3 linked regions of the Rattus norvegicus genome follow. The protein of the gene in region 3 interacts with the protein of the main gene of each other region in a biochemical or structural test. Links are inferred from orthologs where the notes say so. Each region holds a gene or a part of one and is shown on either strand. Other genes may lie near its edges. The genes, in order: Mapk14, Cdk9 and Mbp.

Region 1 (10,478 bases), on a different chromosome or scaffold from region 3:
TTTCTGGGCACTTTTGTCTATTTATTGTTTTTCTCAAGATAGGGCACTGCGCTCACTCTGGAGGCCAGGCTGGTCTCAAACTCATGGCTGGGAGTTATTTGTATTTACGTGTTTCTTATTTAGGCTGGTAACACCCAGCTAAGTTGTCTACTTTTAGTTCCAAAGACAGTAAATGGAAGACAGCTCAGCTGAAAGCAGCCTGGTGGCCCACTCCTGTGATCCTAGCATTAGAGCGCCTCAGACAGTGGGTCAGGAGTTCAGGACCAACAAGCTGTCATGAAGGAAAGCAGGAAGACAGGCAGGAAGGGGAGGGAGAGAGCCCAGCGAGTGTTACAGCTAATAGTGAAGGTGCAGCCTTCTCAATCGTCAAGAGTGAAAAAGGTCATCTTTTCATACTTAATCACAGAGTTTTCTTTTTACCCTAGCTCATTAAAATAAATTAACACTAAAAAAAAAGAAAAGGCCTCGTTTATTTTTGTTATATTTACTGGAATAATCTTGTCCTATGCTAAATCAGATTTAGTTTCTTAGAAGAAATTACCATGTTTAGCTACAGGTTTGTTACATGTTTACATGCCGATTATAAACTATGGGTCACCATGTCTACAACACAGTAAGCCACCCATAAAAGGCAGCTATTAAACCCATCCATTCTCCTACACGTCCAACGACAAGATGAGCTGTCTTGTTCTGTACTCATCTCAAGAACCCAGCCACTACTTGGTGGTGTGCGGTACACACTAATGACTAAATGGCTATGGATGACCTAGAAGTAATTCTTAACGCTCACTCCCAAGGCATGGGTTCAAGTGGGCCCAGCCAGGGGCTGGAGAGAGGCCTCCCCAGAGGAGGCACTCACGTTCCTGTTTGAGTTTCCTTACATTCACCACAAAGATTTTCCCCATGCCCCAAACCACACAATCAATGCTTTGCAACAATGTGGTCTTTAACGCCTGTTTCCCTTTTCAGGCAGTGAATAAAGTTCCTTAAAACTTGGAGAACTTAGCTTAGTTCCCTTTACACTTTTAAAAAGAAAGATATTTGTCAAACCATACCAATTCTCACATTTCCAGACTGATTGACTTATTCATCTCTGATTTACAGTTGGTAACACTACAGTTTATCTCTTGTTGTTTCTTTTTACCGTTGTTCACTAAATACTACAAATAAAAATAACAATAATCGGGGTTGGGGATTTGGCTCAGCGGTAGAGTGCTTGCCTAGCAACCACAAGGCCCTGGGTTCGGTCCCCAGCTCCGAAAAAAAGAAAAGAAAAAAAAAAAAAAAAAAAACCAATAATCTTAAAAAAGAAAGTTACAAATCACTGTATATCATGTCCCATTCAGGGATTCCTTTCTTGAAGAGACCTCAGGTCCCTCACAACTTATTACAGTCGGCAGTAGGACAGCCTTCTCTCTCCTCAAGACTTCAGTCTAAATCCCCCTCTATTATCTCCATTCAAGTGGACTTCATTATTCTCCAACATCTCAGAGGATGAAGAAGAAAGGGAACACAGGCCTCAAAGTGGATTAAAAAAGAAATCCAAGAAGCCAGGTATAGTCTTGCATACCTTTAACTGCAGCACTCTGGGAGACAGAGGCCAGCTGATCTGCGTTGGAGGCCAGCCTGGTCTACAATGTGAATTATAGGACAGCCCATCTCAAAAACAACAGCCAACAAACAAACAAACAAACCAAAAGGTGCTTTTCAGATGCATCTAAAAAGCTGCTAATTGAAAACAATTTCAAGTAACCCGAGAGCGGTAACGCCTATACATCTGACTGGAGGTGACATTTGCTCAGTCACAGACAGTTTCAGTTATCTTTCCCTCATGGATAGGCTACATAAATCTCTAAGGTAGAATGTCTGGGGCTGGAGAGATGGCTCAGTGGGCTGGAGAGATGGCTCAGTGGTTGAGAGCACTGACTGCTCTTCCAGAGGTCCTGAGTTCAATTCCCAGTGACCACATGGTGGCTCACAACCATCTGTAAGGGAATCCAATACCATCTTCTGGTCTGTCTGAAGACAGTGTACTCATATGTAACACATACACAAATCTTTAAAAAAAAAAATCCCTGGGGGCTGGAGAGATGGCTCAGTGGTTGAGAGCACTGTCTGCTCTTCCAGAGGTACTGAGTTCAATTCCCAGCAACCACATGGTGGCTCACAACCATCTATAATCAGGTCTGGTGCCCTCTTCTGGCCTGCAGGTGCATACATGCAGGCAGAAAGCTGTATGATGTATACATAATAAATAAATAAATGTTAAAAATTTAAAAAAAAAATGTCTGTGTCTCTGGAAGACAGGCAAGGAACTGACAGACTAGAAGGCAGGGCTGAAAGCAGGGTTTTTTCTTTTTTGTTTTGTTTTTTTTTGCTGCAGACCTCTTTGACCCTTATTTCAAGCGACCTGCTTTGTGCTGTGCACTGCTGCAGTGTAAGGCCAGGACTGTGCCATGGTTACATCACTAGGCCAGCACTACCTATGTTCAAGAAACTGTTTGGTAAGGGCTGGGGATTTAGCTCAGTGGTAGAGCGCTTACCTAGGAAGCGCAAGGCCCTGGGTTCGGTCCCCAGCTCCGAAAAAAAGAACCAAAAAAAAAAAAAAGAAACTGTTTGGTAGAAGTCTATCTCATTGGGAGGCTGTGCTCAATCCCATTGCAAGAAAGTAACAGCACTAGAGGAAGTGGTGTTGGTTTCACTGTGGCAAGTCACTGTAAAGCTGGCTCTTCTGCCAGGGCAGCAGTGGCCCTAGGAAACCCTGCAAGTTCCCTCTCCCAGAAGCCCTGAGTTCTGCTCCATCCTTCCCAAGCATCCAAATGGGGACAAAAGCCTGATGCTGTAACAGTGAGCAATGAAGACTGGAGATACTGAGGGAGCTGGTGAGTACTAGAGAAACAAACCAATCACAAACACGGGATGTAAATTATTGACATCCCCTTTAAAATGCAAACTGCCAGTCTGTAAACTTGGGGGAAAGAGGTCAGGGCTGGTGCTATCAGCAGCACAGCCTAGGCAGCTCCAACGAGCAAACGCAATATGATCTGTTGCCGGACATGGTTGCACAATCGCAATTACCAGGAAGATTCTACCAAACAGGAAATTCACGATGTGACTTTAAGTAACACAGGATTCATACTTAAAGATTAACACATCCAGAAGCCTAGAATTTGTTCCAAAGGGGGGGAAAAAAAACATTTCACAGGCTCTTTCAGGGAAACGTGAATATAAATCACTAAAACGCAGAAGAGTCTAGTCTGTTGAGTCTGGTCTTTACTTTCAGATAGGGAGGTCTAAACTGACACTGAGTCCCAATAAATGAGACTATATGAATCCTTGAAAGTCCCTGACATTTCTGGAGTGGACCTTTGACTGTATAAATTTAATCTGAAACCTGCTCCCAGGGCCTTGTGTGGTAGCAAATGCCTTTATTCTCAGCGCTGGCAGGAGACAAAATTTGTTGAGTTCCAGGCCAGGCTTTGGTCTAGCCACTGAGGCTCAGGCCAGACAGGGCCATCCATAGTGAGACTCTGTCTCAAACGAACTCAAACAAAAAGCCGAAGTGTTAATGAAAGCTGAAAGGCATCGTTTTCTGCGGCCAGGTTCTCCCGAAAAACCCCCATGTGCCTCGGTGCTTACAAGCTTAAAGCCCCCTGCAAATCTTCTAAGGGGCTTAAAGAAAGAAAAGCATCCCAATTAAAAACCATTTACAACTCCAGCACTCGGTCCCACCTTTTTGATCTTTGAGGGGCGCCCAACAGATCAGAACCACTCTGGCTCCGTATGGAAAACTGGTTTTGTCAAACAATACTGAACTGAGCAGCGCTGTGTGACTAAGCTGAGAGCTGGAGCGTCCTTGCAGGCACTGCCACCCTCCCTCCCCGAAAAGGAAATACGCTTTCAACCGAATCGGAAACACACCACGGCAAGCTGGCACCCCGCGGTCCCCGAGATAAAGTCGGTATTATTTTAAGCCCTTCGGGGTGCTGCTAATTCAGGTGCGAATCCCAAAAGAACGTTTCCCGATTCTGGGTTTTTCGACCGAAGCTTGCAAAAATGGTTAAATGGGAGGGAAAAACTGAGAAAGAGAAAAAAAAATTCCGGGAAAGGGAGCGCTTTTTCTTGCAAGTTTCGTTCAGGTGACCGCAGTCCCCGGGTCAGGCTTTGACCTACTGCTCCTCGCCGGAGCTGCGCCCAGCTCGCCCGCTCCCCGGGGCAGGGCTCCTGCGTGCCAAGTGGCGGTACCCGGAGGCAGGGTCCAGAGGCCGCACGGCTGCAGAGGGACCCCCGGGAGGAACGATCTTGCGAGCATGGAGAGCACAGGGTGGAGCCCCATCACACCGCGCCCACGGCTGACCCGATCCCGCACACGGTTCCCCACCCACCTGAGTGTGCAGGGCGAGGGGTGCAGGACACGTCCCGCTCCAACTGCCCCCTGCACCCCCAAGACACGCCCGCAGGAGAATTCCTGCCGCTGGGCGCATCGCTGAGCTGTGGGGACAGGCCTGGCGCTCAGGCATGCAGGGCCACCCTGCTTGCTCCACCACGTTCCCTCCCACCCCCGCCCCCAACCCCAAGCCCGGCGACACTCACCACACCGAGCCGTAGGCTCCCGAGCCCACCGGGGACAGGTTCTGGTATCGCTCGGGCACCTCCCAGACGGTCTTGTTCAGCTCCTGCCGGTAGAACGTGGGCCTCTCCTGCGACATCTTCCAGCGGCGGCAGCGCGGCGACGAGGTGGCCGAGCGAGGGCCCCTGCCTGCAGCCGCACGCTCTCCTCTGCGCCCTCTCGCTCGCCCGCGGCAGACCCGACCCCGCGCCCGCGCAGGTGTGGAGGCTGCGACCCACGGCTCCTGTCAGCCGCGGCGGCACCTACGAGCCTCGGCAACGAGCGGGAGCCGGCTGCACGGTTCGACGCAGCTCCCGCCGCGGTCCCCTTGCAGCCGCTCCCTGGGGAGCGCACGCCGACGCTGCGCGACAGCCGCTCGCGCTCTAGCGCCCGCTCGGGCTCCAGTGGCCGCGATCTCCCCCCTCTCCCCGCAGGCAGCGGCCGGGGAGGCTCTAGCAGGACTCTCGCGAGAACAGCTCCGCGAGCCGAGATCTTACCCAATATGGAACCTGCCCGTGGGGCGGGGGTGCTCGAGAAGAGCGCGCGGGACGGGAAGATCTCGCGAGAAGAGAGACACGGCTCCGGGAGCTGAGGCAGGAACTCTAGGGGAGACTCTGCTCCCGGGGGGCGCCGAGGGTGGGGGCGGACCGCAGCGTAGGCCGCGCGCGCCTCTCTGTGGTCGGACCGGCGAATGCCCGGCGCCGTGGCGGAAAACCACTGGGACGGCGTCGGGGGGGGGAAAGAGAGCCAAGCGGTCTTTGAGCTCCGAGCCACCTGCTCACCGGAGCCGGCGATTTCCAAGAAAGATTTGCAAGAGCAGACTGGCCCTGTCCAGAAAGCTGTTGCGTTCCCATCCGCTCAAGGACGCGTGGCTTATCTCGGGACGCTGATGAAACCTGTCCCCCTCCCCACCCAGGCAAACATTAACCCGGTCTCAAAGCCCAGGCTCTCCCTCCCGCCGGACGCTCCTAGCAGCTTCTAAATGTCCTCACCAGAAGAACCACCGTGGAAGGTGTAGGAGGAGGTTCCAGGGACCCACTAGGGAGTCCGATGCACAAGGTCAGAGGTGGACGTCAGGAATGGCCACTTTGAGGCTGAGACCTGCGTTTGCAAGGCCCTGGGTTCGATACCCATGACTGGAAGGGAAACACACTCTCTCTCTCTCTCTCTCTCTCTCTCTCTCTCTGCAGGTAGGTCATTCCATTTCAGGAAAGTTTCTCATTTATTTTACTTATTTAGATGTACACATCCTGTAATGCCAGCGTTTGGAAAGACCAGGAGACCCGTCTCATGTATTTGATTTTATTTATTTACTGAATTATTTAGATTTATACAGCCTGTGATTCTAGCATCTGGAAAGACCAAGAGACCCTTCTCATATATTTGATGTATTTATTTAGATTTACGTAGCCTGTAATTCCAGCGTTTGGAAAGACCAGGAGACCAGCCTCTGCTATATAGTGAGTAGTTAAGAGACCTGCCTGGGCTGTTATGAGACCATATCTGGAACACCCCAAAGCCCATGACTCCGGTTCGAGACCGACTCCTGCCAATTTAGAACCATCCAAAATTTAGAAATTTAAAGGAAAAATTGGGAGAATTTTAAGAACTTAAATTGAGGGAGCTGGAGAGATGGCTCGGTGGTTAAGAGCACTGACTGCTCTTCCAGAGGTCCTGAGTTCAATTCCCAACAACCACATGGTGGCTCACAACCATCTGTAATGAGATCTGATGCCCTCTTCTGGTGTGCCTGAAGACGGCTAAATAAATCTTTAAAAAAAAAAAAAAAAAGAAGAAAAAAAAAAAAGAACTTAAATTGAGAGGATTTTAAAGACATAATTCATGAGAAATTTAAAGAATCCACGCCTTTGGAAGTTTGGGGAAACGACGAGGGCTTCGGACATTTATTAAGACAAGTCTGTTGAGCTTCCTTAGGCCCCGGTTCTAGTCTCCACGAGGGAAACCCAGCCCTCCATTCCCACCTAGTGGAATCTTCCGTAGAAGCCGAGAAAAAGATAATAAAAGTGAACGGGGAAAGTTAGACCCGTAAGAACTCACATCCACCCACCCCTACGCGGAGCAGGAGGACCGGGAACTCCTATTCTCGTGCCTGTTTCTGGAAGATCCGAAGGGTCCCGGCCCAGGTCTGTGGAGGGCAGCCAGAGACCCCTTCTCCTCGCCCAGATGCCGTCCTCGCCCGTCACCCGCACAGCCGGAACGCCGGCGGGTTCTGCAGCAACGGCTCGGGAACTGCCGGCCTCTGCGTCCGCAGCACCGCCGCCAGCCAGGCTGGAGCCGAGTCTGTCCCCAGCGTCTGCGCTCCTGCCGGTCACCGGAAACCAGGTGAGCCCTGCCTGCCGCCTCCCGTAGCATGGCTGCTTGGGTCACCTGCAGAGCTAGGAGAGTCCCAAGCACTAGTGGGTGAATGAGTGAATGGCGGTGGTCCCTGGAATGAATGAGTGAATGAATAAATGAATGAATGGCGGTGGTCCCTGGAACTTGTGTCTCCTATAGAGAGGCTGCGTGAGAGACAGCACTGGCAAGAGACAAGATGGTCTTTGCACACTGGATCCTTTCAAACTCGCCCCTGTGTTATCAGCAGCTGAAGGGACTGGACTGTGGGCCTTGCCACACTTCCACCCTATCGTGTCCTAGGCTCAGAGCCCCTTTTGCTTACCCTTACTGTTTTGCTCATTTTGTTTTCTCTGGCTGAACCCTACCCCCCTCCGCCCCCTTCTGTGTCTTCTGGTCCTTAGGGACTGTGGTTTGGGTCCTCCCTCAAGCCAGTCATGAATGTCTCTCCAACACAGCCCCTTGGTATCATGCTGTATAGCATTAAGGAGGGCTTTAGTTGGAAGTGAGTTTTGTTTTATGGTTTTAGGAAGCACGTGAAAGAGGACTTAAATCAGGTAAAAAAAAAAATTCTTGCACCTTAACTAATTTTCTGGGTTTCCTGCCCGTTGGGTCAACATTTTATAAATCAAGTTACATTTTTTTGCATGTAAAATATTCCAATTAGAGATTCTGTAAATGATCTGCAAATGGATAAATGACGGACAGACAGATGGACAGGTGGATGGCTGAAGGCAGCAGTAGTGAAAGAGCTGGGTTAACATGCTTCTATTTTCGAGTATTTTTAGCAGAGGGAGATAAAGACAGGGACTACAGCTCAGAAGACAGCAGCCTTTCATGTTAGGCCCTCAGATGGATTTCCAGCGCAGGAAGGAAAAAAACAAAAGAATTAAGGCATGTGTGGTGGCACACACTGTATGTAGAACTAGAGTTTCATAAAGGTTGCTCATGGAGCGAGAGATACGGCTCTTTCAACACCTATAACCCAGCACTGGGTAGACGGGGGCAGGAGGAAGGCGATGTCAAAGCCCGCTATGCTCCATGAGATCCTGTCTCAAAATCAACAGCAGACAAGAAAGATGAGTGGTGTACACTGTGGCACCCTTCGTGCTGCTCTGGTCAGGGCCCCAGTTCTCCGCTGCTGCTTCTCTTTCTGTGTTTTAGACAGGCTCTCACTGTGGCTGTCAGCCCAGCACTCAGAGATCCGCCTGCCTCTGTCCCTGGAGTGCTGGGATTCAAGGTGTACAACACTTCACTAGGCTTCCCCAGCTTCTTAACACACTTTGGACTGCCCCAGAAATAGTTACTCAGGAGATGATTTTTATTTGGTTTGTGGTTTTGTTTGTTTGCCTTGATAGAGAATCTCATACAGCTTGGGTTTACCTCAAGCTGGATGTGTAACAGAGGCTTGAACCCTCCCTGATCCTCCCGCCTCGTGTCCCAAGTGCCAAGGGTACAGGCTTGTGCAACCACACTCGGCTCCCTTTAGGAACAGGCTTTTGTTTTTAAAGTTTGTTTATTTTGTGTGTGTGGTCATCGATGCAGGCCACACTGCCCGGTGCAGGTCCAAGGACTACTTGTGGAAGTCGGTTTCTCTCCTTTCACCTTGTGGGTCCCAGGGCTGTTAGGCTTGCTGGCAGGCAGAGCTGGCTCACCAGCCCTCCTCTAGGATCACTTTTAAACCTCCCTCTTCTTTCCCCCCTCCTTTCCCCCCTCCTTTGCCCCTTTCTCTCTCCCCCTCCTCCCTTCTCTCAGTTTAAAGTTGATGTCACTCAGATGTTTTTAATTATTTTTCTTATATCATCTCTAATTGTGTTGAATCCTGTCCCTGAAATACCTAGTCTTCCCCCCCCCCCACGTGTCTCAGCCCACCTTCTCCAGGAGTTGACCTTTCCCCAGGCTGGGGTCCTTGGTGTTTCTCTAGGTCATGTGATTTTAAGACAGGAACCTGTTTTACAGGGGATAGGGCCTGAATTGTGGCCGTGCTGACTCACTGTGGCTCACTGAGGAACTCCTTACACCTGTCAGAGAGGAAGATGCCTGCGCCTCCCCAGTGTAAAGCCTGGGGAGGGGTGGGGGCTAACCACGGGTGGTCCTCCCCTCCCTCCCCCCTCCCCTCCCTCCCCCCTCAGGCTCTGCACTGGGGAGATGCTGGTGTCTTCCCTGCTGCATTCCAAGGAGGAGTTGGGAGATGACTTCGCCCTGAACCTTTAGCACTGAGGAGGAAAGTGGTCAGAATGCTTTATCTCTTAGTCTGTGCACGTGTACATGCCTGGTGCATGCAGAGGTCAGAGGAGAGCGTCAGATCCAGGGAGACAGAAGCTACAGACGGCTGTGAGCCACCATGTCAATGGCAGGACCCAAACCCTGGTCTTCTTGTTTGCAGGGACAGCTGAGCCAGCTCTCAAGTCCCCTCATTGGATTATTAATCAGACATGGTGGTACTTACTTACCTGTTATCCAAGGTGGGGGCAGGAAGAACAGGAGGCCAATGTTATCCTCTGATGCAATAGTAAGGTTCTGGCTGGCCTGACTTAAATAGTAATTAAAAAAAAAAAAAAGGCCAGGTGCTGTGTCAAATGCCTTTAACCCTGGTTCGTGGGGGTTAGAGGCAAGTGGATCTCTGGTATTCAAGGACAGCCTACTTTACACAAGTTCCAGGACAGCCAGAGCTACCTAGTGAGACCCTTTAAAAGACAAACACAGGCCCCAGACACACACAGTAAACACTGAAGTTGTCTGAACTTCTGAGCCTTGTTCAGTTGGGTGTGGGGTTTGCTTGCTCACCTGATTGTTCTAACAGCATCTCGACCGTGTAGCCCAGGCTGATCTCAAACTTGTGATCCTCCTGCTTCTGTGGTCCTGGGATTACAGGCCAGGCCCTCACACCCGTGTCCGCTAGGAAAAAAAGAGAACAAGTCCTTTGACTCTGACAGAGAATAGTTTTGAGTTTTAAATTGTACAACATGGAGGAAAGGTCTTGTAAAACTGCTGTGCAAAGATACTGTTATTGTATGTGAATTACATTCCCTTCAAAAGATTCTGACGGCAGGCAGTGATGCACAGCTATGGCTCCGGTCTCAGGGCCAAGTCAGGGAGACTGCTGGGCACTCCCCATTCACCATTGCCAGGCTGAGCAGCAAAGGAAACAGGGAGAGCAGGCCATGCATGCCATCGCTCGCTCGAGACGTGAAAGCTGGAAGATCATGATGTCAGTTATCCTTGCCTATGTTGTCAGTTTGAGGCTAACCTGGGCTATAAGAGACCCTACCTCAAAAAGAGGAAGGGTGCTGGAGAGATGACTCAGCTGATAAAAGTGCATACTGCTCTTGCAGAGGGCCTGAGATTGGTTCCCAGGAACCCCACTGGGCAGCTCACAGCCACCAACTCCAGCTCCCATTTCTGGCCTTGGAGAACACCTATACATAAGAGCATACAAAGACACACACACACACACACACACACACACACACACAGACACATGCATACACCATGCACACACCTCACACCACACACA
Region 2 (10,478 bases), on a different chromosome or scaffold from region 3:
TATTGACATCAGAGTGGGAGCATGACAGGACCAAAGCAGCATGCATGGCACTAGAGCAGTAGCAGTGGAGAGCTACGTTCTGATCTGTAGGGAGCAGACAGAGAGAGACTGGGCCTGGTTTGGGCTTTTGAAACCTCAAAGCCGGGGCTGGAGAGATGGCTCAGAGGTTAAGAGCACTGATTGCTCTTCCAGAGGTCCTGAGTTCAATTCCCAGCAACCACATGGTGGCTCACAACCATCTGTAATTGGATCTTCTGCCCTACAGGCATACATGCAGGCGGAATGCTATATACATAATAAATGCTATATACACAATAAATAAATCTTTAAAAAAAGAGAGAGAGAGAGAGAGAAACCTCAAAGCCTGCCCCAAGAGACACACTTCCTTTAACAAGGCCACACCTGTTCCAATATGGCTCTAGCTCCTAATCCTTCTAATCCTTCAAACAGTTATACTCTCTGATGACTAAGCTTTCTTTCTTTCTTTTTTTTTTTTTTTTCGGAGCTGGGGACCGAACCCAGGGCCTTGCGCTTCCTAGGCAAGCGCTCTACCACTGAGCTAAATCCCCAGCCCCTTTTTTTTTTTTTTTTTAAGATTTTATTTATTTATTTTATTTATATGACAAGTACACTGTAGCTGTCTTCAGACACACCAGAAGAGGACATCAGATCCTATGACAGATGGTCGTGAGCCACCATGTGGTTGCTGGGATTTGAACTCAGGACCCCTGGAAGAGCAGTCAGTGCTCTTAACCTCTGAGCCATCTCTCCAGCCCCGATGACTAAGCTTTCAAAGATATTGAGGCTGCTTTTTTTCTTCCACACAGAGTTTCTCAGTGTAGCTCTGGCTTTCCCAAAACTAGCTCTGTAGACTAAGCTGACCTTGAACTCACAAAGCTCTGAAGTGGAAACCTAAGGGTTCTTTGGAAAGTCATTTGGATGGTGTTTTGCCCGGACAAATGTGTGAAGGAATGTTTAGCTGAAGTGGACAGGGGTGAAAGACTAAGGCAGACTCGTGAAGGAATGTTTCACTGAAGCAGACACAGGAGAGAGAATGTTCTGCTAAAGCATACGTGAAAGAACACATGATGAAGGATTCTTTGCGAACAATACACACATATTAGTCTGCCTTACATTGCATAACTCAGCTGCATTTGTGAGGAAATACACCCAAAAACTTCTCTTTTTCCTTTTTTTCTTTTTTTTTTTTTTTCGAAGCTGGGGACCGAACCCAGGGTCTTGCGCTCGCTAGGCAAGAGCTCTACCGCTAAGCTAAATCCCCAACCCCACCCAAAAACTTCTGGTGGTGTGCTAGACTCTGGCTAATTGGCAGAATGAAGTCAGATGAGACAGACACATGTGCTGAGGCAAGACCTGTGAAGGACCTGTGATGTTTGGCGATGGTAAAAAAAAGAACTCAACAGTGAAGGAGACTGAGGTTGACTTGCTGGTACAGCTAGTTGTGCAATGCTTGTTGGTCTTGGGTCTTTGCTGATCTTCCCTTCCCTGAGAAAGACACAGCCAAAAAACGTCTCCTGAGATTCCCCGGGTCTCTCCAGCTGACTGGCCCCAAGACTGAGGCCTGGCTGTCTCTGCTAGGCAGTGCCACCGCTGCTGACTCATGTTTGCTATTCCACCTCTACCAAACTGGATTGCTGGTGCATCCATGAGGTGTTTGCGAGTAGATCTATCTGCTGCTGCTGACCCGTGAACTGAACTGCAGATTTCCACACAACACAAAAATGAGTTGCTCCAAAGAACCTTTCTAAACAGGTCCACTTTCCCGCCCTACCTTCCTTTCTTTTCCATTACCTCTGGTAGGTGATGGGCTAAAAGGACAGTTAAAGCATTTAGAGCCATCATTAAAAATAAGATTTGAGGGCTGGAGAGATGGCTCAGCGGTTAAGAGCACCGGACTGCTCTTCCAGAGGTCCTGAGTTCAATTCCCAGCAACCACATGGTGGCTCACAACCATCTGTAATGGGATCTGATACCCCCTTCTGGTGTGTCTGAAGACAGCTACAGTGTACTTATATATAATAAATAAATCTTTTAAAAAAAAGATTTGAAAAAAATTAAAGTTACAGAGATCCATCAGCCTCTGCCTCTCAAGTGCTGGGATGAAAAGTGTGCACCACCACCACCCAGCTATGGAAGGTGTTCTTATTCAAACCACTATACTAGGTAAGGTCAAAAGCTGGAGTTCCGCCGGTGGCACAAACCTTTAATTCCAGCATTCTGGGAGTAGTGGCAAGTAGAACTTTGTGAGTTCAAAGTTAGCCTAGAAAAGCACTCTGAGGCTTTCTATTTTATTTTTCTGAGACAGGTTCTTGTTATGTGAACAGCCTATCTCAAACCTACAGAAATTCCCCTGTCTCGGCCTCCTGAGTGCCGGGATTAAACATGTGTGCCATACCTGGCTTTATTTTTTTCATTCTTTAGACAAGGTCTCACCGAGGCTCTAACTGGTCGTGAACTTACTCTTTAGCCCAGACAAGCCCTGAACTTTGAACTTTCCTGCTTCCGTTTCTTTAGTAGCTGGCTTTCCAGTTTTCTGCCACTGGGCCTGGCTTCCTTAGCTCTTAAATGGCCATACAAGAGACTCCTGAGGGGTGTCATGAGGCGGCCAGTCAGCAGGTGTTGACAGAGGCCGGGTCACACGCTAGGTCTTGGTGGTTTAGGCAGTCCACAGGAAGCAGGCATTATTTGCAACCCACAAAGCAGTAGCCAAAGTGAATTTGAAACGACTAATTTCTCCCTGGTTCCCTCCTGGATTTTCCAGTGGTGGAGAACCGGGACTCCAGAACTGGGCAGCCTTCCAAAGCCTCCAGATTGCCATTGCTTCCCTGTGGAGGGGCTGAGGGCCCAGGACTCTAAGGAAGTGACTGGAAGATGTCAGGGCTCTTGTTGGTGGCAGAGGTGACAACATCACAGGAAACCCTGCGAAAGCCTCTCTGCCCACAGGATGTGACTTAGGGAGGGCTCATGAGAAACAGACACCAGCTACAGCCTAAAAATCTGATTGTAGCATCCACACAAGTCATCAGTGCTGCTGTTACCTGCCACATTCCCCAGGAGCCCAAGGCAGGTGAGAGCACTCCCAAGTTTCACCATGGTTTCATGCTGAGCCCAGACTGGGAGGGGCCTTGACATGAGGAACTGACCTGGTTCAAAGCTAGCGTGGCCACTGGCTGTCTGGGTAACCATGGCCCACTCATCTCACCTCTGAGTGTCAGGGTCCTCATGTGCAGTGGAGGTCAGAGTGGTGTCCCCTGCATCTGACTGACAACAGAAATACCTCCTGTACAGGCTGAGTGCAGGGCTAGCCACTTTCTATCATTGTAATTAGTGTAATTACTCTCTCCTTCTTACTCCTGGCTCTCCCCCACCCCCTTACTTCTTCAGATAAGCAGTGTATCCATGAAGGTAGGCTCTGGGTCACTTCCTTGGCTTGATTTCCTAAAGCCCTGGCTGGCTCTATGAAGGGTCTTGAGAAATCCTCCTGGCAGGACCCTTCTCACAGCAGGTACTCGGGGACACCAGGCTCATCAAAACCATTCCTCCTTCCAAGAACCTTCAAGCCCAGACAGTGTGGCATAAAACCAGAAAGCACTCCCAGACACAGTGACGCCTAGAGCTGAGGCAAGAGGGATGTCTGGAGTTCAAGGGTCAGCCTAGACTACTCAGTGAGCACCAGACCAGTCAGGACCTGTCTCAATCAAACAAGAGGTGAAAACAAACCGGAAGCCTGCAACTGACCCCCGAGAGTGGGGTGGCAGCTCTGAAGACAGGAGGGATCAGGGGGCTGGAGAGATGGCTCAGTGGTTAAGAGCACTGACTGCTCTTCCAGAGGTCCTGAGTTCAAATCCCAGCAACCACATGGTGGCTCACAACCATCTGTAATGGGATCTGATGCCCTCTTCTGGTGTATCTGTGTACTTAAATATAATAAATGAATAAATCTTAAAAAAAAAAAAAAAAAGAGGGATCAGGACACTGAAACAGAAGGCAGTTTGCAGGACCACAGCACAGAAGGGAAACACTGGAAAATCAGACACGCCTCACTCAGAATTTCAAATCGGTTCAGGGAGACATAACAGACTGCAGAATGATCTGGAGCAGGTTGGAATGGAACCAGTGAAACGAGGCTAGGGGAAGCAGGACTCCATCAAGGTGTCCATCCTTGAGAGGGGTGCTGACAAAAAGGAGGGGACTGAGAAGGTAAGAAGACAGCTGTGTGGACTTGTCTCCTGGGGATGGGAAGGTGATTGTGGGAAAGGATAGGCCTGGAAGGGTCTTAGGGTAACAGTGTTATCCAGCCTGTGTAAGGTCAGCAGACCTCAAACACACTAACAATGAGGCATGACAAACTCTAGAGCCAGCCTTATCATAGTGTGACCAGGAGCAGACAACCTCTGATTTCTGATCTGAGATTTCTTCTGTAAAATGGGTTCATATTTTTTTTCTGTAAAACCCAGTTCACATGTTTGTTTCAGAATGTCCAGCAGATATCTCTCTCTCTCTCTCTCTCTCTCTGTTATTATTTCCTGGTTGTCCTAGAACTCACTCTGGAGATCAGGCTAGCCTCGAACTCAGAGATCCACCTGCCTCTGCTAAGTGCTGGGATTAAAGAGGTGCGCCATCACTACCCAGCTCATGCCCAGCATTTCAAAAACGCGCAGGAGTGCCTGTTCAATTTTAACCATTTTTGGGATGATTGACGCAGGACAGACCAGCTTAGCCGCAGCTCTGTGAAGGAAGGCAGTAGATCCATCCTTGCCTTCCTGACCACACAGGATCCAGGGTTTAGGCCTGAGCGTCGCCGCGCCCCCTGGCGGCCGTCAGTTGCCATGTCAACGGCGGGTGGCTGAGACGGCGGAGGCGGCAGCGGGGGCAGTTCTCTCTTCCCCGGGCCTCAGGCCGCTCCCTCGGCACCTCCTGCCTTCGCCTCACTGGGAGCACACTCCCAGCCCTGGAAGAAGGGCCCTTCTGTGGCAGCTGGCATTAGGGGGGTAAACTGAGGCACGCAGCAGGGCGCCGCAGGCAGGTGTCTAGTGCGGAGCCCCACCTCCAAACGCAGAGGAGGGGCTGCTAGCAGTGACGCGCCGAGGGCGGACGCTGGACTGGGAGCGGGAGGGCGGGAGGCGGCGGCGGCAGGTGCGGCCGCGGAGGGTGGGAGGAGGAGGGAGGGGGCGGGAGGGGGAGGGGAGGCCAGGACGGGGACCTCCCCCTTTATAACGCGCCCCCTCCCGGGCTCTCGGGCCGCCTCCTCGTCTGCTCTTGCTATCTCGCCCCCTTTCCTGGCCGCCCCGGGCCGGGTTTGGCCAGGGAGCCCCCGCCCCCAGGCCTTCCCCACACCCCCACCCGTCGCCCCGCGCAGCCCGGCGGAGGCGGCGCCGTCGGAGGAGGAGGAGCAGGGCACTGCGGCTGGCCCCGGATCGGGAGCCAGAGCGGCAGCAGCTTCGGCAGCAGCACGGCCCGGGCCAATGCAGCGGGACGCACCGCCACGAGCCCCAGCCCCAGCGCCACGGCTCCCTGCGCCCCCGATCGGGGCCGCCAACAGCACTAGCGGCGGCGGCGCAGGCGGGGGCAGTGGCGGCGGCGGAGGCTCCTCTGCAGCTCCGGCTCCCCCTGGCCTCCCGGGAACTACAAGTCCCAGGGGGCCTGGCGGCGGGCGGAGACCGGAAGAGGCGGGCTCGGCACCTCGAGGCCGGAAGTGGCCTTGGAGGCGGAAGTGGCGCGGCCGCGGAGGGGCCTGGAGTGTGGCGGGACCGGGAGCGGCGGGAGCTGCGGCTGGGGGCGGCGGCGGCGGCGGCGGCGGCGGCGGCGCGCTGGAGGCGGCCATGGCCAAGCAGTACGACTCAGTGGAATGCCCGTTTTGCGATGAGGTCACCAAGTACGAGAAACTTGCCAAGATCGGCCAAGGCACATTCGGGTAAGATTAGGCCGCGTGGGACCGGTAGCCCAGGACCTGCACTTTCCATGGCCTATATCGGGTCGTTCAGGGCCGGGGCCCGAGGTGGTACGGAAGCTTCTATTTCCTTGATTGTTGCCTGGTCTTGCTAGGCCGCGCCGCAGACGCTCCCGGCCTAACCGAGCGGACTGGCAGGGAGGAGCCTGAGGCCCGTGATGGGGGTTGGGTAGGGTTGCTGAGAGGAACTCAGTTTGTGAGCGGACACCTCTGGGGGGAGGAGTGGGAGCCGAGTAGGAGTAAGAGCAGGGGCTGGGAGAAGGACAGAAAACACGTGGTGTGGAATAACAGCTTACAGGAGTCCCGGGCCGCACCCCACCGTGTGTCTGGTCTCCCGCTGCTCCTCTTCGCGTGGGGGAGGGGCGGTCCCTGCGGAAATGCCTGATGGGTCCCTCGGGTCTTTGTGTTGCAGGGAAGTATTTAAAGCCAAGCACCGTCAGACCGGCCAGAAGGTGGCTCTGAAGAAAGTGTTGATGGAGAATGAGAAGGAGGGGGTGAGTATATGGACCACTGGGCAGTTCTTCTAACCTGTGCTCGGTTTCCACACTGCTACTTAAAAGGGTTTTGTGCTGAGATTCCACCCAAGTATTTTTCGATTTTCCGTGTGACAAGACATTTGGCTTTCCACTTAGACTTTTGAGTTTTTGTGGCAAAGTTCGGTGGGAGGCAAGTGAGGGAGCCTGTGCTTTGCGTGAAAGTGCACGTTGCCTCTAGAAGTGGGGTTTTTGAAAACTTCCAGCTTAGCGTCGAATTTTGTTTTGTACGAAGGGACAATTTGTGCACAGGCAATTTAAAAGGCAGCTTAGCTTAAGGCGTGTTTTGAAGCATGATGTCCCCGTCTTAGCTTTAGTACAGCGTTTTCTTTGTAAGGAAAAAGCTGTTTGACTATTTCCTGTCTATGCGTGTCTTGTTTTCTGGTGTGGCTGTGTACAGCATGCCTGTCTGGTACCTGGGCACCTGAGGAGACCATGCTAGGCTGCCTTGGATCACTTGGGACTAGAATTAAAAAGATCCACCATGTAGAGGCTGGGATTGAACCTAGGTCCTCCGGAAGAACAGCCAGTGTTGTATGTGTGTGTGCATGCATATGTGTATGTCTCCCTGAAATAGGGACTCAACATAAGACTTGTTTAATACAAAAATCTCTCAGTATCCCAGCTGTTCTCAGACTCGCAGAGGGTCAACTGCCTGTGCCCGGAGTGCTGGGAATAAAGGCTTGGGCTGCCACTCTTAGCCAGGACTGGTTTGCTTAACTATTCATCTATCTCTGGACCCAGGGAATTTCTTGATTTTAACCCACAAGCATTAGTGCCAAAGATTTTGTCCCTATTTGAGTTGTCTAAAATAAATTCCTGGCCCAGCGTAGAGGGCTATGATTGTAGTTCCAGCATTTACGAGGCCAAAGAAAAAGGATGGTTCACAAGTCCAAAGCCGCCATTGTCTAGATGGCAAAATCTAGCAGCTCCTTGAGTGAGATGTGTGTGTCCTTTCACTTACCTTCTGCTTTACAGAGACTGGTTGCAGATAAATATATTTATTTTCCCCTCAAGCAAGAGCTCAACTAACCAGACTGGCCTTGAACTTGGGACAGTTCTACTCTCTATTTGACTCCTGATAGTAGGATTGGATTCCAGACAGGAACCGTCTGTCACACAAAAACTATACTCTTACCTGCCTTTCAACCTCTGTCCCTCAGTATAGATCACACACACACACACACACACACACACACACACACACACACACACTTTTACTTCATGGGTCTGTTGCTCTCAATTTTGACCACTTCCTCTCTTTCTCCTCCCTAGTTCCCCATCACAGCCTTGCGGGAAATCAAGATTCTACAGCTCCTAAAGCACGAGAATGTGGTCAACCTGATTGAGATTTGTCGAACCAAAGGTACGATGCTCGTTCTCGGGATAAAATGAACCTTAAACCTTTGCTTGCACTCCTGAGGTAAATGTGCTTAATGCCTCCTCCTGACTTGACTTGATCACACAGCTTCCCGATCTGTTTTGTTTTGAGACAGGGTTGCCCTGTGTAGCCCTGGCTGTCCTTGACCTTGCTCCATAGACCAGGCTAGCCTCACACTGCCTCTGCCTCCCTAGTGCTAGGGCTAAAGGCATGCACCACCAGTGACTGACCACCAGCTTCTCCGGGCTTTCTCCGATGGAGTTGGGTGTTTGTGGATTGGAGGGCTGGGAGTTGGCTGTGGAAAATGAGGTGGGTGCAGGTTTTTTATTTTCCCTCCCACCCTCTCTCCCTATTCTGCACCAGCTTCACCCTATAACCGCTGCAAAGGCAGCATCTATCTGGTGTTCGACTTCTGTGAGCATGACCTCGCTGGGCTGCTGAGCAATGTCTTAGTGAAGTTCACGTTGTCTGAGATCAAGAGAGTAATGCAGATGCTGCTGAATGGCCTCTACTACATCCACAGGAACAAGGTGAGGCCTGGGGCCGGGACAGACTGGGGCTTCTTTGCTCTTCACTGCCTTGTGGGTGGGTCTCTGGGATACTATGAGACCTGACCGAGCTCTCATGCGTCCTCCCTGCAGATCCTGCACAGGGACATGAAGGCTGCCAACGTGCTCATTACCCGAGATGGGGTCCTAAAGCTGGCAGATTTTGGGCTGGCTCGCGCCTTCAGCCTAGCTAAGAATAGCCAGCCCAACCGATACACCAACCGTGTGGTGACATTGTGGTACCGACCTCCGGAGCTCCTGCTCGGTGAGGACTCCCGAGCGGGCAGAGGGGGGCAGGGGCCGGGTACTTACCTGGCCACAGCCCCCGTTGCCGGGGGCCTCTTTAGCCATCAGCCTTGGGACCTGGAGTCTCAGGAGGCCCTCGGGCTTAAGAGGCACTCCCGGTACCCTCTTCTTCTCAGGAGAGCGGGACTACGGCCCGCCCATTGACCTGTGGGGTGCTGGGTGCATCATGGCAGAGATGTGGACCCGCAGCCCCATCATGCAGGGCAACACAGAGCAGCACCAGCTTGCCCTCATCAGCCAGCTCTGTGGCTCCATCACTCCAGAGGTACGTGACCAAACTGGGTGATCCTAGGGGGCCTGCAGTGGAGAGGAATCTGATTGGTGGGAAGCCATAGGCCTGCTGTCCAGGGTCTTGTGGGTGCTTCTCCCTCCTAAGCCTGTTGGTTTTGTGGGCTCTCTGTTTCTGTGGCAGAGTACCTGAGCAAAGCAAAAGCGCCAAGATTTGCCTTTGTTGAGAAACTTCAGCCTGTGGTTGTTTAGCCTTTGCTTTGGTGCAGAGACGTTGCTAAGTGTCACAGCAGAGAGTCCACTGGAGAGAGTAGGTGTGGTCATGGCAGGGAAGAGCAGAAGAGCAGGGTCCAGTGTGCAGCTCCAGGGGTGTTAAGCCCACTGACTTAACACTAGGCTTCAGCACACATTCAGCGAGCCTCAGAGGATACTTTTTCCCTCTTGGGTTGTCCCCTTCCCCTCTCCCCCCAAGTTTCCACCTCCCAATAGCGTCACCAGCAGGAGATCAAGCTTCAACACAAGCTTTTAGAGACAAAAGTACCATGAGATTTTTGTTTTGTTTTAAGATAGGAGTGTGCGTGAACAGGGCCTGGCATCTTTATTCTAGCTGACTTGTGTAAGCTGTCCAGATGCTAGGAGTATACTACATCCAGTGACTGCTGCTTTCAACTTGAAGACTTCTGATTCTCCTTGCAATGGAGAGGAAGTCAGGGAGCCTCTGAGAGAAGTTCTTTTAGAAATCCAATCCCCTGGTGTCTTAGCATTCTTCCCTCCAACTCCACTCTCTCCTTAACGTCTCTTAGGTGTGGCCAAACGTGGACAAGTATGAGCTGTTCGAAAAGCTGGAACTGGTCAAGGGCCAGAAGCGGAAGGTGAAGGACCGTCTGAAGGCCTACGTCCGGGACCCCTATGCTCTGGACCTCATTGACAAGCTGCTGGTGCTGGACCCTGCACAGCGGATTGACAGTGATGATGCCCTCAACCATGACTTCTTCTGGTCGGACCCCATGCCCTCGGACCTCAAGGGCATGCTGTCTACTCACTTGACGTCTATGTTTGAGTACCTGGCCCCACCACGACGGAAGGGTAGCCAGATCACCCAGCAGTCCACCAACCAGAGCCGAAATCCCGCCACTACCAACCAGACGGAATTTGAACGTGTCTTCTGAGGCTGTCGCTGGCCGGTGTTCTTAGGTTAGGGGTGGATTGCTTCTGCTCTGACTTGCATGAACATGTGACATGATGGGACGTTTGAGATTTTCTCCTCCAGTACATATCAACTCCACCCTGGCGCTGGGAACAGCTGCCTGAGTGGACTGGGGCAGAGCATTGGCTGCAAGCCCTGAGGGTCCTGGGGCTGTCCTGCCTGCCTCTCTCTGGAGGTCTCAGCATGGATACGAAGTGGGGTGGGAGAAGCTCACCCACTGTGACTTTTAAGAACTCCTGTGTGATGGGAGGAAGGTACAGGTTCCTCACCATCCCCAGCCCTTCCTCTGGATGAGGATGTGAAG
Region 3 (10,478 bases):
GTGGCAAAAGACCCAACAGAGAAACAAAGCGACCTCAAGATAAAATATTAAGCCATGGTTCGATGGCCGTGTCCAGTCGTTCTTAAGTCCTGAGCCAGTGTCTTGGCATCTCAGTGGCTTGCAGCATGACTTCCAAGAGGGATTATTTTCCCTACAATGATCTGTTCCTTCAGATGTCAAGCTGTACTTTTCATCAACCAGTCAGAGCTTCTCGTCACCAGCTGGCTGATCTCTCCCATCCCCACCTCCCTGGAAAGGAGTCCTAATGATTAGGAAATAAATCCCTTAAAGTGGAGTGGGTTTAAAAGCAGGAGGAGATGCCACACAGGCCACATTCGAATTCACTGGGTCTTTGCTTTTATCTCTCACTTGTCGGCCTTCTAGGTTCCTCCAGCATCACCCGAAGAGGAGCCTACCTCCCTCCCAGTCCAGAGGAAGGAACCTTGTCACCCTATGAACACACCCTCCCTGGGGAGCCCAGGAGGGCGGCCATGGTGCGTGTGATGGCTAACACTGCCAGCCAGACACAATCTAGAATCACCAAAGAGACACGCCTCTGGGTTTATAAGGGACTATCTTGATAGGATTAATTGAGGTGTTAAGACCCACCCTACAGAGGTTTGCTGGGCTGGTGTTCTGGACTGAATACAAAGAAGTCTCTGATTCTGTCTGCCGCAGGCTCCTGCTGCCACGGTGTGCTATTTGGTGGAAGCGTGAGCTGAAGCAACTCTTCCTTCCTTAAGTTGCTTTACTAAGGACACTTCATCACAGCAACAGAAAAGTGAGGTACTCAGTAGCTGTTTGCTGGGTGCCCTGGGTTGGTTCCTTTGTGTCCACACACCCCGTTAGCAGAAGGTAATGACCAAAACCTCTTTCTCTGATGGTGGCACTGCACTGGAACCCTGGGAGTATTACTTGGGCACTTCCGCTGTGTGGACACTAAGGAACCAACCCAGGACAACTCCTTGGACACTCCTTGAGCACTGCAAGAAACACAGGGGCCTGTGGGAAGGGGAAGAGTGAGATGCCGCGCCACCATGCTGAGAGACCACCCCGAGTCTGTGGTGGAGACAGAGGACTCGGGGCTGTGCTGTTTTCAGAGGTGGCGAGAGCTTAAGTGCCCAGACTTACCTGTAGGTGTTTCTCAAAGCCATGGAAAAGCCAGTCTCACAGAGCCATTAAGGAAATAAAAATACAACTTAAAAAGTCCACGTGCAATTAGTACACCATCTTTGGTCTGTTAAAATATTTAATGAGCGTACAAAAGCAGATATACATTTATCTTATGCGGGAGTTTACAACATGATCAAACTGCAGTACAACCACCTAAGGGGATCATCATTAAATACAAACACAATTTACATAGTTTCCCACGCTTACAACGCCCATCACATTCCTACTTAAGTATCAGCGGAGGGCTGTGCCGACCAACCGGGGCAGCAGAAAGGCACGGTTAGATACCAGGGACCAGTAACTGACCAAGCAAGGGTATTCTACAACGCGGTTCATACGAAAAGTCTCAAAAGCGTGAACTAGGACCCAGACGCAGATGTCAGTGTGCCCATCGCAAGGCTGACTTTCTCCAGAGAGTCTCTGGGAAACTCTGGCCAAATGGATTAGAGGCAGAGTGGTATGTGGGTCCCCGTTCTCTTTGCTTCTGCCTGGACCCCTGAGCTCTCCGTTAGCAGAAGGTAATGACCAAAACTTCTTTCTCTGATGGTGGCACTGCACTGGAACCCTGGGAGTATTACTTGGGCACTTCCGCTGTGTCCTTCATGTGGCCTCTAATGTCCCCTTTCCACGGGATGGATGGCGAGTCTATCTGCAACCTTCAGTGAAGACTAAATGTATTGTAGAGAAGAGATACATCTGATAAAGCTTAGGATGCCATGAGAAGTATCCGGGGGAAAAAAAAGACGTTCTAGCTAATTTAAAGGGTTTGCCACATTCAGTACTTAGTGGCGGGAAACATCTTAATCTCATCCTGTCAAAATTAGAGGCAGAGCAGTCATCTGAACACTGATTGAGGTGCCTGCTATAACAGGTTAGAAATGAAGATTTCAGGTAAAATAAATAGAGATTTAAAATGCAGGTATGGGGGTTGGGGATTTAGCTCAGTGGTAGAGCGCTTGCCTAGTAAGCTCAAGGTCCTGGGTTTGGTCCTCAGCTCCAAAAAGAAGAAAAAAAAATGCAGGTATAGAGCTCCCCTCCCGGGAGAATGGAAGATGCCTTCTTGTGGCACCTGTGTGACACTACAAGATCAGCTTAGGTCCCCAGTGAGATGCTACTTGCTCTTGGTGGGAAGAGGAACCTTTCTATGGTTTGTGTTCTGAGATAATGGCTTGCAGGCCTGGGGACTACCCTAGGACTGGGCCTGGCACTGGTGCAAGGTGACGGGGTCAGAGCAGGTGTCTTTGTTCTTTTCCTCAAAGCCACCTCCTCACAGCCTCGGAAGGCCTGAACCCTGTTCCTGAGAGGCCAGAGCACAGCCTCCCCACAGCACAGCCCCCCTTTCCTCCCAGGACAAAGGAGAATGCTCTCTGTTAATGGACTTTTCACCACGGGTCTCAGAAGAATATGCCTTCTCAGGGCATTCTTCATGTGCTGCCTTTGAATGTCAGCCTGGAAAACGCACAAAGGCTGGGTGTTGTCCCTGCATTCTGGGAGCTGGGGGTGGTGACTCTGCATGGCACGGAGGTACCACGTGCCCCGGGGAGGGAGGATGCAGGAGACAACATGACCTTACATTGCAGGGTAAGGGAGGGGGTTCAGAGTCTCCCAGGTTCTATTTGGGGACCCTTTTCCACACAGGTGACACAGCTGCATCTCTAAGTGGCAGGTGCTGGCACTTGTACTGCTACCCAAGCACCCTGCATGCATGTTAGATGCCTATCTTAGAATAACATCAAGGGTGCAGGCTTTCATCACAAGTGACGCTAGCCTTTGGACTCTATTCTTTGCAACATTCTTAAGGACCTCTGTAGTATAGGAAAGCAAGCCCTGCCCCCCCCCCTCTACAAACATCAAACTACAAATAGAACAGATGCTCCTGACATCCCAGGGCAGTAACTGCCCCTGGCAGCTTCTCTGGGGATTGTGATTTATAGCCAGGTGTAGAGTGAGTTAAGCCTCCTTCACCAATGCTAAACAACCAAGGACCCACAATCAAAGAGGCTTGGACACCAAGGCTTGACCCTTGCTGTGTCCTGGGCAGGGAGCTTCCCAGAGGAAAGCACCTTTGGTTATGCTTGGAACAAGCTGCGGGAGGCACAGGGGAGCATCAACACAAACTCTGTACGGAAATGCCATAACCCTATTTCATATGCTAATTAAAACGCTAATAATAACGAGACCATAAGGACCACACATGCAAACACCGAGGGACTTTTTTTTTTTTTTTTGCTATGAAGGCTATTCATTTAAATAATCCTTCATATTCAAAAAGCACAGTCATGGTACAAAAAATTGACACTTGAAGTTTCAAAAAAATCTCAATTTAAAAAATTATATGTATTTATATATGGCGAATATTTGGACTGCTTCTGAGTTTTGAATTTCTTCTTTTTCTTGGAAAAGCAGCGGATGGAGAGGCACATCTGTACCCTCTGGGAGAGCCATGGAGCAACACATAAACCCGTTACAGTGTTTCAACTTGAACCATGACCTCAAGACTGGTTCTAGAATCTGTGCCCTGTAGCTATTTCGTCTTTCCTACCCAGTTTTAAGTCCTGTTCCTCCAGCTACATGGACTGGGTGAGGCTGTGTGCATGTGTGGTTACACAGATAGACCTGAGGGGGGCAGTCAGGAGCCTCTAGCCCTCAAGCGCCCTAAGACAGCTTGAAAAGCCACTGTCATGTAAATTAGCATTGGAAACAAGATTGCTGTCTCAGGCTGAAGGCAACACCTTTAAGTACAGACTGTGAAGGGACCTGGTGCAGCTTGAATTCTGTTAACAAGTTAGACACACCGAGTGTTAGTGACAGTCAAGTTGCGGTGACATCCAGGTGAGGGCCAGACTGCTGCTGAGACACCAAGGGGCTCTGATGGCCACAGGGCAGAAGAGCTGTCATTGAATCCAGCAGTTCACAACCATCTCCACTCTCAAAGGTGAGGCTGGAGACGACAGCATTTCAGAAACTGCACTGGCAATGGCTTTAGAGCCGTGGAGAGGCCTCTGCCCCACACTTCAGTCAAAAGCCTCTTGAGTTCTCCAGGGCTTTGAACACAGACACAACTTAAGAGACAGAAAAATCCCCAGGCTGTGAGGCTACTCACAAACCAGGGCTTTGTTCCACATCTCTCCCAAGAGTTGCTCGGCCATCCAACAGAGTCATAGAAGATGCCATGCACTTTCAAGGTGGCAGCCACCTGACACTAGTTACTGGTGTCACAAACCTGAACCCACAGGCTAATGCATAGTCCACCCCAGATGTTGCCCTTGGAAACTGGACCACCTGCACCGTTTTATCTTCTGATACATTTTAATTCACAGGATATTTGCTTTCGAAACATCATGAAACCCAAGTTATATTTAAATTAATGGAATCACACACAAACAAATTGTCTTGAACATACATTCAAACACCCCCCCGCCCCCCAACCAAACGACTTAAGACAAAGGGGAAAGTTTGTTGGAGGTGCAGGGGTTTGCTCGGCAGACCTCCTTGCCTCAACCGGACCATTGTTTCACAGCGGCAAGAAATTAGCAGCCTGAACCCAGCAGAGAATGAACACAAATCAGGATCGAAACGGGAAGCACTGTGCAGAGGCGGAATAGGCTGAAGCCCCAGGCATAGGGCATATACACTTAAGAACCAGTAGTCTCAATGACTCATCCAGGGAGCCTCAAAATTTAGGATGCAGAAGGCCCTTGCATTTCAGAGTGACACCCAATCGCAGTCCCTTGTGAGAAGGACAAAGGTAGCAATACGGGTTGACATAGGCTAAGTGGCGACCACGCCCACTCCTCGCCCACTCCCCCAGGCCATCACCACTGTCCAATCAGGGCCAGTATCTCAGACACAGGGACATGCCAGCCATGGTGACTGGCCCAGTTCACCTGCCCACCTCTCCTTCCTTTCTGCCAGTTAAACCCATAGTTCCTCTACGCCTCGGAGCTCACCTTGCCAGAGCCCCGCTTGGGCGCACCCCTGTCACCGCTAAAGAAGCGCCCGATGGAGTCAAGGATGCCCGTGTCTCTGTGCCTTGGGAGGAAGCCATGCCGGGCATGGTCCATGGTACTTGCTGTGGCCAAGTACTTGGATCCGTGTCGCTGTGAGGGTCTCTTCTGTGATGCCATCACATCCAGGCCTTCGGAAGCTGCTGTGGGATCTTCTTGGATGGTCTGAAGCTCGTCGGACTCTGAGGGCCTGTCTTTGAAGGTGTTGTCCTCCCTTCCCGGGGCATCTCGGGAAAAGAGGCGGATCAAGTGGGGGCGGTTCCCTGGGTCAGCTGGGTGGGCACCCTGCCAGTTATTCTTTGGGTCTGCTGTGTGCTTGGAGTCTGTCACCGCTGTGTCCTCGGCCGAGGTCCCATTGTTCTGGATCGCATCTGCCTCCCCTGCAACAACAATGAGATATGAATGTGGGCCTGTGCGAGGCCTCGAGAGGGACAAAGCCGCTTTCTTCCTGGGGTCTTGAACTAGCTGTCTCCTATAAAACGCACAGATATGCGCAGGGCCCAAGGAGCCTCGTAGCACTTTGAATAGCCTCAACCAAAGGGAGCTAACCCGTATTGAGCTTGCTTGGTATACGTGGCTCAGGGGCTGTCTTCAGATCCTTATCAAAAGAACCACTCCAGAGAGCGATGACCTGAGAGCCCGCAGCAATGAAGCAAAAACATTTCCTGAGTTGCTCACTGTACCAGAGAGCCCCGCAGGTTAGGTATCTTGTGGGCTGCTCACTGTCTAAAAGACCACTGGTGCACAAGCCCCAGATGTGAAGCCGTTGTTTGACAAAAGGTGCTTTTAGTGTTCTCAGTGGAGAACAGAACTTCCCACATCTTTCTGCAACTTACAGTCCAGGGAAGCAGGGCACTGAGCATTCCTCTCTCCCGGATTCCGCTGGAGGCTCTGGCTCCGGGAACTGCTTATTCAGGGCATTTGGATCTGGCTCCCTTGCAAGTCATGGTAACCAGATTGCTTCACGTGGGACCTGGGCACTTCACTACCGAGCACATGGAAAATGCAATGTTCTCACCGACGGCCGCAAGTCCATTCCCTCTCAACTTAGTGTGAGGTTTAAACGAATGTAATTTAACCTCCTCTCCCAACTCTATTACTGACCTGTAGAAATTTGGTTAGCTCACACTTTCCTATAATATTTTGTCCGTTTATTTAACCCTCTCCCTACTGACCATCCTTCCAGTCTACCCATCATCTGTTCACCTTATCCATGCATCCTTATTCTGTCTATTCTATTCATCCATCCACCTACCATCTGTCTGTCTGTCCATCCATCTACCCACTTACCCATCCATCTGTCCACCCAGCAGTATTTACCTGACATTATTCATCTATCCACTTCTTTATCTATTCTGCCCAACAATCCATGCACACATGAACCCATGCATGGGACTATGCACCCATGCATGGGACTATGCAGTGCTGGTCCTCTATCTACCCACTGTCGGTTACTTGTTGAATAGGAGGAACGCATTTCTCTAAATGTTAGAGCCATAGTGATGAACAAGACCTGGTCCCTTTTCTCACGAAACTTACATTCTACTGGGGGGGGGGGATCAGATGAAGAAAATGTATGCTAAGAATTGAGCGCCCCTCCCCCAATTGATGTTTTCACATCCCAGCCCTCTCTCTGCCTGTGACTGTGACTTTGACTGGAAATAGAGTCTTTGCAGAAGTGATCCGGTGAAGATGGCGGGCTCATGGGTAGTATGGTGGGTGCAATCCTGCAGCTGGGGTTCTTGTGAGAGAGGGAAACTGAGACACAGAGACTTGATATTAGAGAAGGAATGTGGAAGGCAGAGGAGAGTCAGAGACACAACCACAGCCACAGGGCAGCAAGGAATGCTGGCACCACCTGCAGGTAGGAGCCATAGACTGGACTCACGAACCCTGCGGCTCTCAGACAGTTCAGTTCTGGATTCCTGACTTCCACAGCTGAGTCACTGGATGTCACAGTGCAGTAATGTGTCAGGTAGCATGTGTGTGCTCTCTCCCCTGGGGACTGAACACAGACAGCAGGTGAGATGCCAACAAGAAGGCCCTGGGAGGTCACCCGTGCTGATGGACAGTCTAGAGCCCGAGGAAAGAGGCTGGAGTGACAGGGCAGATACACCCTGGAGGCCTAAGCAGGAAGGAGCTGCAGGTTCTGAGCTACTCTGTCCTGGGAGATGGAATTCAGGAGGCAGGGGGATTGAAGGCAGAATGGGGTCACTGTCTGCTGAAAGTTGATTTTGGAAAGGGCAGAGGTAGTAAATCCAAGCTGCAGGAGGGCTGATCCAGGGAAGACCCTAAGCACGGATGAGCAGAGAGAATTGGGTAACTCAAGAGTTCAGACCATAGAGACTCTTACATGACATGGTGCCTGGGCCAGGATGAGGGGGCAGGCAGTCTCCCAGACTCTCCAGGTTTATACTCTGGGGAGGCAGAGCGAAGGAAGAGGCCAAGAGGGGTGAAACAAGGTGGCTGTGGTAGACACTTTCCTTTAAGGTGTTTTCTGGTAACTATCAGGGCATCGTGAGCACCCCACGAATCATCAGAACTGCCCACAGGACGTGGAGAACTCCACTGATAGCCCCAGTTTGTCATGGTGAGGATGGAGCCCAGCCCAACAAGAAGCAGATGTGACCACAGTTGGTGGGGGAGCTATAATCCATCTGATAGCAAGTTCACAGCCACACACGTGCAATGCCACTTGCCAAGTCACTGTTTGGTGTTTTGTCCTTGGGGTATTGGGGATGGGGCTTGTCCCTCAGACTTCCTGCCTGTCGAGGTCGAAGGTTCCAGATTCCCCAAAAGAAGGTGTTCGTTCCAGTCAGACTGTGTGCATGCTACCTCTCAAGAAGGGAATGCTGCACACAAGCCTGACACCCATCTCTCCATCCACCTCACAGGGCCCAGCTGGCCAGCAGAGCTCCAGAGATAGATGGCCTCGGGCCTGGTGAAGGACCCACAGCCTTGATGCACAACTTCTGTAAGCTAGATAATATGAACATACTAATGAGATAAAGATTAATAAGGCTTTACTCTGAATGGTCCCTGTGAGGGTCTTTGTTTGAGTTGAGATGTGACTGGCTGAAGTTCATTATCAATGTGCAGAATCACCCAGGAGACGACTACAGTCACCTAGGAGACGAATAGAAACACAACTAGAATCACCTAGGAGACAATTAGATCACCTAGGAGATGACTAGAATCACCTAGGAGATGACTAGAATCACCTAGGAGACAATTAGAATCACCCAGGAGATGACTAGAATCACCTAGGAGACGAGTAGAATCACCTAGGAGATGACTAGAATCACCTAGGAGACAATTAGAATCACCCAGGAGATGACTAGAATCACCTAGGAGACGAGTAGAATCACCCAGGAGATGGGCCTATGGACATGTGTGTAGTTTCTAGATTAGGTTAATTGCAGAGGGAAGATGCAGTGATAAAGCTCCATCAGCTAGGAACCTCGAATGAATACACTGGAGAAAGCAAGCCAAGCAGTGTCCCCCTCTCTCTTTGTCTTTCTCTGTCTGTCTGTCTGTCTGTCTGTCTGTCTGTCTGTCTCTCCGCTTCTGACTGCGTGTGCGCTGTGACGCGCAGACTCGTTCTTACAGCCACTCTTTTCTCACGGTGACTGTACCTTCCAAGTGTGGCCCAGAATAAACCCTCTCCTCCTTAAGTTCCCTGGGTTGGGTATTTTGTCTGGGCAACAAGATAACCAACCACTGCAGAAAGTGATCTGGGGGCACACTGGGTTTTTAAATAGTTCTGGAAGAGGTACACTTCCTGAGAATGACTCTCTGTCATTCACGATCCTTAAAATCTTGGTGGTAACCAGGACAAGTCTGTAGCCGGGCTCTCCTGGCAGGGCTCTCCTGTTTGCTCTCAGCAGTTGCTCTTTGGGGCTAGTATAGCTGACACGTGATTCATACCAGTCGAGTATAGACTTGGTGAGCATCAAACTCGAGTGTGTGCACTCACGGAGGAAGATAGGACACAGTTAGATGTGCAGCACAGGCCTCCTGCTTCTCCATCTGCGCTTTGTGTCAAGTTCTCACACAGAAGGAACTGCCATACACTACCAGAGCTGCTGACAGGGCCAGGGTGACACTGTGCTGGCTTCCTGCTTCCAATGTGATGGAGAAAAAAAAATGGAACATACATAAAACGTTTCCTGCTTGGAAACCCCAGATGACTTCCAACTCCAGTTGGCTGCCTTTTTTTCTCAGCGTGTTACTGTCCTAAGGTTTCCAGCTGAAATGACCTGGTACTGCACAGTTGAGGAGTTCACATGGGCTCCTCTGATCAGATACGGTGGCCACATGGATAACAGGTCACTGGCTCTGGAACAGCTGATGTGAAGCCCAAGGCAGGTCATGCCCTTGATAGTGTATGTTAACAGAAGTTTGCATAAATCAAACACCCACACTCCAGAGGCTTCCAAACTCATCAAAACTGTGTAGGTCTTTAAACTGACCCACAAGTGACATTGATGGCTGTCAGGAGAGCTGATAAGCATGGCCTTATTCCAAGGCTGTGCCACAATCCCATCTCGCAGTATAAATATTTGCTGGCGACAAGGGACTAGGTAATCCTGACTCTGGGAACCAGGATGGCTGTGGTCTCATCCAGGCCTCTCTATTGGATGACAGGCCATCGTAATGGGCCCTGTGGAAATAGGCCAATCAGTTCAGGGCAAGGCCTAGTGGGTGGAGATGTTTGCTGGCACCATTCCTCATGGCCACTGGCTGGACTCATCAGGGCTCTGCCACCGTACAGTGTTTGAAGGGCACACACGGCACTCTGGGCTACTGCGGAGAGGTGAAGTTTGCAGGGATGCAGGGATGACTTACAGGTGGAGGCCAAGCAGGAGCGCAGAGGAGCCTGGTTCTGGAGTTGCGCTATAAATTCTGGAGCTGACAGAAATGAATGCAAATGAGGGGAGAAGACAACAGCTATACTGTGAGGAATTAAATGCATTAACAAAACACAAGCACATCTGAATACTAATATTTTTAACAACAGTTGGGCTTTGTGTCCTTTTTGAATACAGTTATTTGTGAGATACAGAGAGGCCTCTGTGTCTCCAAAGTGGCTCCTCCCTTCCTGCAAGCAGTGTGGTAAGGAGTCTAAATCTGCCACCCACGGGCGTGCGTGCGTGCGTGCGTGCGTGTGTGCGTGTGTGCGTGCATGCGTGTGGTGGGATGCATACAGAAATGCTGCCTTGGTCAAGTTAAAGCCGGGAGGCCTTCCATTCCACACCACGTTTACAGAACAGATCTGTGTCATCCTCAGTGATACAC

Evidence for each region.
Region 1: of the proteins of Mbp (region 3) and Mapk14, one has a biochemical effect on the other in vitro, tested with the Homo sapiens proteins (4 studies listed by BioGRID). The link is inferred for Rattus norvegicus from reciprocal best matches to the Homo sapiens genes MBP and MAPK14.
Region 2: of the proteins of Mbp (region 3) and Cdk9, one has a biochemical effect on the other in vitro, tested with the Homo sapiens proteins (2 studies listed by BioGRID). The link is inferred for Rattus norvegicus from reciprocal best matches to the Homo sapiens genes MBP and CDK9.

What each region holds. Positions count from the first base shown.
Region 1 is NC_086038.1:6,745,910-6,756,387, reverse strand, and holds the start of Mapk14 (mitogen-activated protein kinase 14), read right to left. Parts: upstream 5,030-10,478; 5' UTR 4,710-5,029; coding exon 4,594-4,709; intron 1-4,593. Other genes in the region: Slc26a8 (testis anion transporter 1), read left to right, coding at 6,794-6,952. UniProt on the Homo sapiens protein: Serine/threonine kinase which acts as an essential component of the MAP kinase signal transduction pathway.
Region 2 is NC_086021.1:36,394,338-36,404,815, reverse strand, and holds the start of Cdk9 (cyclin-dependent kinase 9), read left to right. Parts: upstream 1-5,799; 5' UTR 5,800-5,843; coding exon 5,844-5,935; intron 5,936-6,383; coding exon 6,384-6,465; intron 6,466-7,779; coding exon 7,780-7,870; intron 7,871-8,248; coding exon 8,249-8,415; intron 8,416-8,526; coding exon 8,527-8,698; intron 8,699-8,855; coding exon 8,856-9,004; intron 9,005-9,770; coding exon 9,771-10,136; 3' UTR 10,137-10,478. UniProt on the Homo sapiens protein: Protein kinase involved in the regulation of transcription.
Region 3 is NC_086036.1:78,205,144-78,215,621, reverse strand, and holds the start of Mbp (myelin basic protein), read right to left. Parts: upstream 5,301-10,478; coding exon 5,124-5,300; coding exon of another isoform or gene 5,106-5,123; exon of another isoform or gene 4,464-5,105; intron 1,210-4,463; exon of another isoform or gene 1-1,209. UniProt on the Homo sapiens protein: The classic group of MBP isoforms (isoform 4-isoform 14) are with PLP the most abundant protein components of the myelin membrane in the CNS. They have a role in both its formation and stabilization.